2 linked regions of the Zea mays genome follow. Each later gene encodes a partner of the first gene's protein in a complex. Links are inferred from orthologs where the notes say so. Each region holds a gene or a part of one and is shown on either strand. Other genes may lie near its edges. The genes, in order: Sister chromatid cohesion 1 protein 3-like and absence of first division 1.

Region 1 (4,133 bases):
ATATCGCCCTCCCTTTATTTGGTGTACTAGTGTAAGGTGCTCTCCAACTACGTCCTCTCTTTCACCCCATCGCGAGGGTGAGAATGTTTGCTCACTATGTACATGAGGATTTCAAAGCTCCCCTTTTCATTAATGAATGCTCTTAATGGATAAATTAATTATTTTCAATTTTAATTACCATATAACAATGTGTATTATGTTATTACAAATATTGTATAGTTTTTTGAACTCCAGAAATGATGTATAAAAGTCAAATACTTCAGTTAAAGTGTAAAGAGGACGTGAATAAGGGAAATGGTTGGAGAAGAGAAAAAAATAGGGGATGAATGAAATAAGAGAAAGTATTGAAAAATCTCTTACCACGACTTCACCCTCCTCAAGCCCAGCGCCCGCAAAAAATAGTGCAGAACGAGCACTTGAACCCCATATAACAATGTGTATATTATGTTATTACAAAGTTTTTTGAACTCCAGAAATGATGTATAAAAGTCAAATACTTGAGTTAAAGTGTAAAGAGGAGGTGAATAAGGGAAATGGTTGGAGAAGAGAAAAAATAGGGGATGAATGAAAGAATAGAAAGTATTGAAAAATATCTACTATCTATTAAGAACCTAACGTGGGCACTGGTGCTACCACGACTTCACCCTCCTCAAGCCCAGCGCTCGCAAAAAATAGTGCAGAACAAGCACTTGAACACATACCCCTCTACTCTAGAAATTTGTGACTAACCACTATACCATACATACCTTAGTGTTTACAAAACAAAAAATATATTTGTAGTTTAGACGTCGCTCCCCACGCTCCTACGCCTCGTGGCAACGTATGGACACATACCTAATGAATAAATAATAAGAATAGAGAGAGAAGTAGACGTGGTAATGTATTCATAATATGATATGACCCTTAATAAAGTTTAGTTAAAAAATGAATGGTAATATAACCTGGTTTTAGTCTGATGTGACACTTAAATTTTATAGTATAAAATTTAGAATTCATTATCACCCCTAATGAGAAGAGACAAGAATGATTAGACTATCTTTAGCAGCTTACCTGTCCTCATATACATATTCAAACTTCACTCTATTAATATTATAATTTACAGTGTAAAATAATGTTTTAGATGACCAGATACGTAAATTGTTAGACATAGTCTTAGGATAATCCATAGCCTGCAAATGTTGTTTGCACACCCATTGCGTCACTACTTCCGAAAACCGCGCGCCAAAAGCTCCCTTCCCGCCTCCTCACCCTTTGGAATTTGGAAACTGCCCTTCCCGGCTTCCCCAAAAAGCATTTCCCCAACAAAAACAAGTTCGCAAACCCAGCACCTCGTATCCTCCCGTCGCCGCCTCGCCTTCCCCTGCGCTACCACCGCCGCTATCTGAACCCCAGCGCCTATCCGGTGAGCCGGAGGGGACCGCCGAGGATGTTTTACTCGCACACGATCCTCGCGCGGAAGAGCCCGCTGGGCACCGTGTGGATCGCCGCCCACCTCGAGCGCAAGATCAAGAAGCCGCAGATCGATGGCATCGACATCCCCACCTACGCAGGTCCGTCGGCTCCGCCCTCGCTTGCCCAAAGGCGCGTTTTTTCTTCTCTCTGTCGTCCGCCGGTAGAAAAAACTGGATCTTTTTCTCCTCCCATTCTTTTTTTTTTGGCGAGGGATTTTTGGAAGCATCTGGTGGAGGGTTAAAGGTGCGGTGTTCCCTGTGGCGCATTCGGTGCAAATGTGATGGAATCATGCGACAGAAGGTCAGTTGCGCGATAATTTGGTCCCCAACCGGCATTCTGCAAGTTAAACGGAGAAGGGGGCTTCTTTGGGTTTTAGTTCAGAACTGCGTATATGATATTCCCAATTAGGGTTCGCTGCCGGTATTTCCGTAGTGATTATGAATTTCCCGTAAGGAACGGTTATTGTCACAGTTTATGCAGAAACGCAAAAGGAAAAAGTACTTTAGCGCATAGGCTGTTTGCGCAGAAGATATGGCTTATTTATGGCCAAATATATGGCCTCAGCGTTGAGCCAGGAATGTACTTGTGAGATTATTTGGCAAACTATTGTGTCTTTTGCCTCATTTATTAGTCCTGGAACAGAACACGTGAAGTTATGCAGTGTTTGAAGTCGGCCGTGTTTGTTTGTAAGAGGTAGATCATCCTTATTTTCATTTAGTTGGACTGACGACTAAGGACAATTGGCAAAATCTTTGTGATTTGGTGAGCCCTAGGTTGGGCGTTTGGAAGAGTGGATGTGATTGAGTGATTTGTCTGTTGTGGTTGCTGCAAGTTAGCACCTCTCATTTCACTCTATTGTTTTGGATTTATTCTATAATGACCATCTCCAGTTCTAATTTCCTTAGAAAAGATGTTTCTTAGTATGTTTTGTATCTATATGTACCCTCTTGATTCTATACTACATTTAGGATTTCTGATGTCTTTTCGCTGTGATTTATTCTGTAAATCCTTCCCTAGTCTTCTAATGAATATCTTTTGCCTTTCCAGAAAGTATAATGTTCCCTGAAGTTCCAATTGCTCTAAGATTATCAGGGCATCTTCTTCTAGGTCTAGTTCGCATTTATTCATGGAAGGTGCAATATCTGTTTCAAGATTGTAATCGAATGCTAACTACAATGAGAACTTCATTCGCTTCTGTCCAAGTCGATCTTCCAATTGATGCAGACTGTGCTCCATTTGAGTCCATTACACTACCATCAACACTAAATCTTGACGCCTTGAACTTGGATGACGCAATTTCTCTGATGGAGTAAGTAATGATGTTCTTCATCATTGTTTTATATCATGCAATGCAAATGCTACCTATGTAATTTTCTTCTTAAACTTTGTGCAGTACGCCAGATAATCATCAGAAGACTCTTGATCAGATTACCTTGCCTGGTAAAGAAAGTTCACGATAGTGAATACTTGTTTATTCTTTTTTGAAGCAACCACCTGAGTCGAACCCCTAACTTAGTTTTTATTTTGATCGATAAACAATGTTCAACCATCAGAAGGAGAATATGTGATGATAGAACTTGATGAGGTATTCATACTATCCTACTGTGTTTTTTCTCTTCTTTTTTTTCTTGTTCATTAATATTTTACTTCACTGTGCAGGATGCCAGAGTAGAGCAATCAGGTCCTGCTCCATCATTACACATGGGACCTACAGCAATCGAGGATGAGTATGTCTCTTTAATATGTTTCCTCTCTTTCCTACTTGTGGATTCATGTCTCCTTTTCAATCATGTTCAGGACGTCCCCTCCATTTCATGATGGTTTTGGAGCTAATAACGATCCTAATGAAGAAGCTCCCATAGATCGTCCCATAGGCAATTCACCAGTGAATTCCAACATAGCAAATCTGACAGATGGAGCACTAGATCCACCTGAAAAAATGCGTGAAGCTCCACATGAGTTTCCTCACCTGAAATTAACAGAGTCCATCCTTGGAAATGATGACCCCATGGATTTGGACCATGATTCTTCACCTTTTGTGCAAAACAAGGCTATCACCCCTCCAGTTATTGATGAAACAACTTCTGCTGGTCGACAAGTACCTGGGAGATCCATTTCCAATTTACGTGCACCAAACACCTTTGATGCTTTTGCAGATGATGCACCCCTAAATTTTGGTTAGTATTTGTCTTGAAACATTACGTACCTGAAGTATTTGTTTGTTTGTCCAACTCTTGACACATTTCTTTTTACTTCTCTGGTTTTAGACATTCAGTTACCTGAATTTCGGCTTGAGCCATCTCCACGTCCAGTACAAGAGAACAAGGATAATAGAAGACCAAAAGCACAAGTTAGCAATAGAAATAGGAAGAGAGGGATGAAATTTGATTACAAAATTGTGCTCTCCAATGAGTAAGTTTTAATTGAGCCTCAACTTTGGCATGCAAGATTCTTTCAATGTGGAATAATTTGGAACAATGATTAATGTGATTTCTATTTTAACAGAAAACAATTGCTTCTTGCAGTTTCAATTGTTTGTGTGAAAGGGCCTCTAGTTGAGTTGGTTAGCTGGTCTGAGTAGCACTTCTTAGGTCTTGATTTCGACTCCCCATGGGAGTGATTTTTAGTTTGGAGTTAGAAAATTTCTCTTGTCTGTTAGATCCATAGTCACAGTTTTCGGA
Region 2 (4,208 bases), on another chromosome or scaffold:
TCCCTCTTAGAAGACCGACGTCCTCATCGGTCAACCCCAAGCCAAAAACCTCCCTCTTACCCGTGACTGTATGTCTAGTGTCGTCATATTCCATGCCATTTGACCACTCTGAGCCTACATACGTCGTGCAACATATACCCAAAACCCTAGCCTACACACGTCCGTGAAACCACGAGGGTCGTCTCTGATACCATTTGTAACATCTCATCCACTGTCGGACCAGTGATACTTACTCCTGACAACCCTCTAGAACCATAAACCATCCTTACAAACCAACACGAGTCTTTTGTGCGCACTTTATCCTCACTCATACGAACTAGGGAGGATTTGTCGGTCGGGCACACATCCTAAGATTGCTCTAGACCAAGCACACTTAACCTAGATGGTTCTTTTAAGACATACTTCATAATGTAGTTATTTGTTTTGATTTATTTCTATTATTCCAACAAATTATGTAACATTTACATCCTTGCAGTGACCATAACTATAGATGCAATACAATGAACTATGGAGTTCAATGTATCTATAGGTGTTGTTCTGCTAGTGCTAAACTCTAGGGAGGTTGCGCTGTGTCCAATGTCGCTGGCCATGTCGCGTGACGTGCCTCGCGACAGGCTACTGGTAGTTCTGCGCCGAACATTGGTTGATCCACGCCTAAGACCACGCACTAAGCCGGTCTATCCGTGTTCAACATCGTAGTTCTGCACCTCTGGGATACACAACCGCCTTGTCCAACGCCATGCCCCAAGCCACCGCATACGTCGGGGCTATCAGTGTCTCCTTTCTCAGCGTGCTAACATGATACATGTTACAATCGAAGACGAGCTCGCATCGTGGCAACAAATTTTGGTGCTCCAAAGCTTTGGAAAGGTTATCCTCAACATTGTTGGGATCCATGGCGGTCTAGAATCAACCATATGAAACACTAGCGGCTAGGGTTCGGAGGAGATCATTAGGGAGGAGAAGGAGAGGTCAAGTCTAAGTTGGGCTAGGTGAGAACGATCATGGGTAGATGGATGGCAGTACCGGGTAATTTTCATCAACTTACGATTAATAGTGGGTCTTTTATTAAAAATAAGCTGATATAAGCATCTTTTGAGAAGCTTATAGGGTTATCATAATCTCAAGTACTAGATTATATAATTTTATCACATAAGTTGCTTCATACTTAGTTTGTCTATCACTAGCTTATTTACATAGAATTTAGATTATATAATACCAAACCCTAAATGACCTGAACCAAAGATACCCAGATTGCTTCACATCATTTGTGTGGCACTGTGGCTACATGAGGACGTGGGAATGGGCGAATGGCGCGGAACGACCCCCGATAGGTTTCCGATATTGCCCTCCCCACGCGCACGATTTAACCGATCCGCCCCCGTTTCTTTCTTTTTCTCCACGAGAACGAGATTACGAGACAAGAGACAAGTAGACAACCCAGCTCTCCAGCGGTCCAGCGGTCCAGCCTCTCCTAGCCGAGGCCAAAACCCCCATACCAACACACACTTCGCTTCTCGCTGCCTCCGCGGCGGCGCGCCGCTCCGCTCCGAGCCCTCTTCCTCCTCCTCCTCTGCCCGTTCGGTCGAGAATGTTCTACTCGCATCAGCTTCTCGCGCGGAAGGCGCCGCTCGGCCAGATATGGCGCGTCTGCTCCCTTGATCGCACCTCCTATGCCTCTCGTTGCGGGCTCTAATCGCGCTCGTTTCCCTTCCTTGTTCCTTGCAATGCGTTTGGTTCTATGCCTTATCCTGGCATCGACCCACAGTGATGGCCACGCTCGCGCCGATTTGGCGGTCACTAACTGCGTTTGCATTGTGGTTTCAGGATGGCGGCGACGCTCCACTCGAAGATCAACCGCAAACGGCTCGACAAGCTCGACATCATCAAAATCTGGTGGGGAAACTGGTCCCAGGGATTCGAGTTCCGCACGGTTTTGACTGCTATTTTTGTGTTTTTTTTATTTGTTTTTGCTGACTTTTGTTTGTGTGTTTCACTTTTAGTGAGGAAATTTTGAACCCCTCGGTGCCCATGGCTCTGAGGCTCTCTGGAATCCTCATGGGTGAGTTCGATTTTGCTTGCGCCACCCAAAACTGTTCCTCCCATTTTTTGGATAGTTTTTTTTTACGTTCCAATTTCCATGGTCGAAAATTCGAAATGCGTGAGCAGGTGGCGTGGTGATCGTGTACGAGAGGAAGGTGAAGCTTCTCTACAGTAAGTTTCTTCCTCCCTACATCCTACTTGATGTTGATTTTGTTTGAATTCCCAGTGTTTCATCATCCCAATTCTAAAATCGATCATGTGTTCTCTTTCTCGCAGCTGATGTCTCTCGGCTTCTGGTAAGAACTAGTTCAGGATCTGCCCGAGTGTTTTCTGTGTCCTGGTCAGTCGATTTGAATATCCTTGCGAATTCAGTTCGAGTTATACCACTAACTTCTCGTGCAGACTGAGATCAACGAGGCATGGCGGATCAAACCGGTCACAGACCCCACCGTCCTCCCCAAGGGTAAAACTCAAGCCAAGTAAGTGTGCTACCGGTCTCCTCCCTTTCTAAGCGTTTATAGATGTTACATGCTGGGGTTGAGGGGGTTCGGTTTGAGTAAGGTTGCACTGCATTCATGCTGTTGATGTTGTTATTGATGAGACTTGGTGTTTGCTTCTTAGCTTTCTTAAAACAGAGATTGTTGTGTGTGCGTTTAGGCTGTGATGTGTTCATCTGGTTGTTTGGATTGGCGAATGTTGTGATCTGGCTGAGATGTTCATGGAAGTTCTTAGGAGATAGATATGTGTTAGTTTGCTTGAACTGAATTGGTATCTGGTGCAATTTGTGTGCCGTGGGAAACGAAAATGGGATTCACAGCTACATGTTGGCGATTCCCGTGGTAGTTTGTTGTGCCTTACTCACTGGGCCCTTGTGCTTGCTGAAGCACTCACATCCACTGTCTGATACTCTGATATCTGATGTATGAGTCCCAATGATCTTCTGTCAACTGGCCTAATCACTTGCTGTTTTATTTTTTTATTTATATTTATAATTTTGACTTTTGAGATATCAGAATAGGAGGTGGATGGATTTGCATTTAGCATATTTTGGTGCAACAGTTACTTTCTCCTTCCAATATGTGAGCATCTTCGTGTCGTTGGAGTATCTTTTGGCATATTCTTTAGCGTGTCCATTTGCTAGCTATACAATACTGTACTTGAGAAATAATGCTATCTTAAAAGGGTTTTCATTACCTTTGAGAACTGGAAATGAACATCCACGGCCTTGATTAATTCTTTTGGCATTACCATTCCTATGGCTGTAGTATAACCCTTGGAAATTTACTTGAGAAATGTAATCTTTTCTTGATATAGCACATTTCGGGTTAAACTTCTATAGATAAATTTGACCTCATTACTACTAGCTCTTTCATAGCCAAACACCTAAGTCTCTCCCCTTGTGTAAATAGCATGGAGTGGATATGAACCGGTGATATGTTATGTGGGGCGCCACTTACAGGCGCAGGCCTAAGGATAAGAGACCTAGTTGAGTTTATCTAGAGATATTAGTCAAGAATATCTAGGGGTAATAGCAGATTAGAAGTTGTTGAGATTTTTTAGGAGAAGTTTAAGGAGATAGAGTCAAGCAGATAGGAGGTTGCGGCCATGCAACTGGCCTATATATGTAATGGAAAGTTATGAAATAAAGGAGGAATGAATTATCTCCAAACTGTCTTTCTTCCCTCCTAATCCGGTCTCCCTCCTTGCTGCCCAACATAGATCAGCACCCAACCGATCGTCCACGCCACATGCGAAGTCAGGGGCCGGCGCCTGCGCCCTTGCCACTTCCCCCATACCGTCGGCCACATAACATCTTGGTTTCAGGAGACCAGCCACGCACCTACCCACCACCATGTCCTCCATCCCAAGCGATCCAGTGGCTCAGGCCTTGGACGCCATCAACCAAAGGCTGGCAACCCTGGACACCCTGCACACCACTATACAGCGCCTAGAACGGCAGCAACAGGAAAGCTAGGCTGCCATTGATCGCCTTGATTAGCGCCAGCAGGAGATCATCCCTCACGGGAACCAACGTCCACGAGGCGGGCCCAATGCCAACCATGAAGACCGCCCAACCAGATTCCATCATCTGGATTTCCCACAATATGACGAGAAGACGGATCCGCTACTCTTCACCAACAAATGCGAGTCATTCTTCTTCCAGC

The links.
Region 2: Sister chromatid cohesion 1 protein 3-like (region 1) and absence of first division 1 share a complex: the UniProt entries of both Arabidopsis thaliana proteins name them as parts of the cohesin complex. The link is inferred for Zea mays from reciprocal best matches to the Arabidopsis thaliana genes SYN3 and SYN1.

What each region holds. Positions count from the first base shown.
Region 1 is NC_050105.1:43,665,465-43,669,597, forward strand, and holds the start of Sister chromatid cohesion 1 protein 3-like, read left to right. Parts: upstream 1-1,333; 5' UTR 1,334-1,426; coding exon of another isoform or gene 1,427-1,550; 5' UTR 1,551-1,752; intron 1,753-2,499; coding exon of another isoform or gene 2,500-2,507; coding exon 2,508-2,761; intron 2,762-2,845; coding exon 2,846-2,892; intron 2,893-3,005; coding exon 3,006-3,037; intron 3,038-3,111; coding exon 3,112-3,179; intron 3,180-3,249; coding exon 3,250-3,629; intron 3,630-3,719; coding exon 3,720-3,864; intron 3,865-4,133. UniProt on the Arabidopsis thaliana protein: May be involved in sister chromatid cohesion during mitosis.
Region 2 is NC_050101.1:178,058,804-178,063,011, forward strand, and holds the start of absence of first division 1, read left to right. Parts: upstream 1-1,408; 5' UTR 1,409-1,591; coding exon 1,592-1,644; intron 1,645-1,827; coding exon 1,828-1,896; intron 1,897-2,003; coding exon 2,004-2,062; intron 2,063-2,169; coding exon 2,170-2,214; intron 2,215-2,319; coding exon 2,320-2,339; intron 2,340-2,445; coding exon 2,446-2,522; intron 2,523-4,208. UniProt on the Arabidopsis thaliana protein: Involved in chromosome condensation, pairing and segregation during meiosis. Responsible for cohesion between replicated sister chromatids.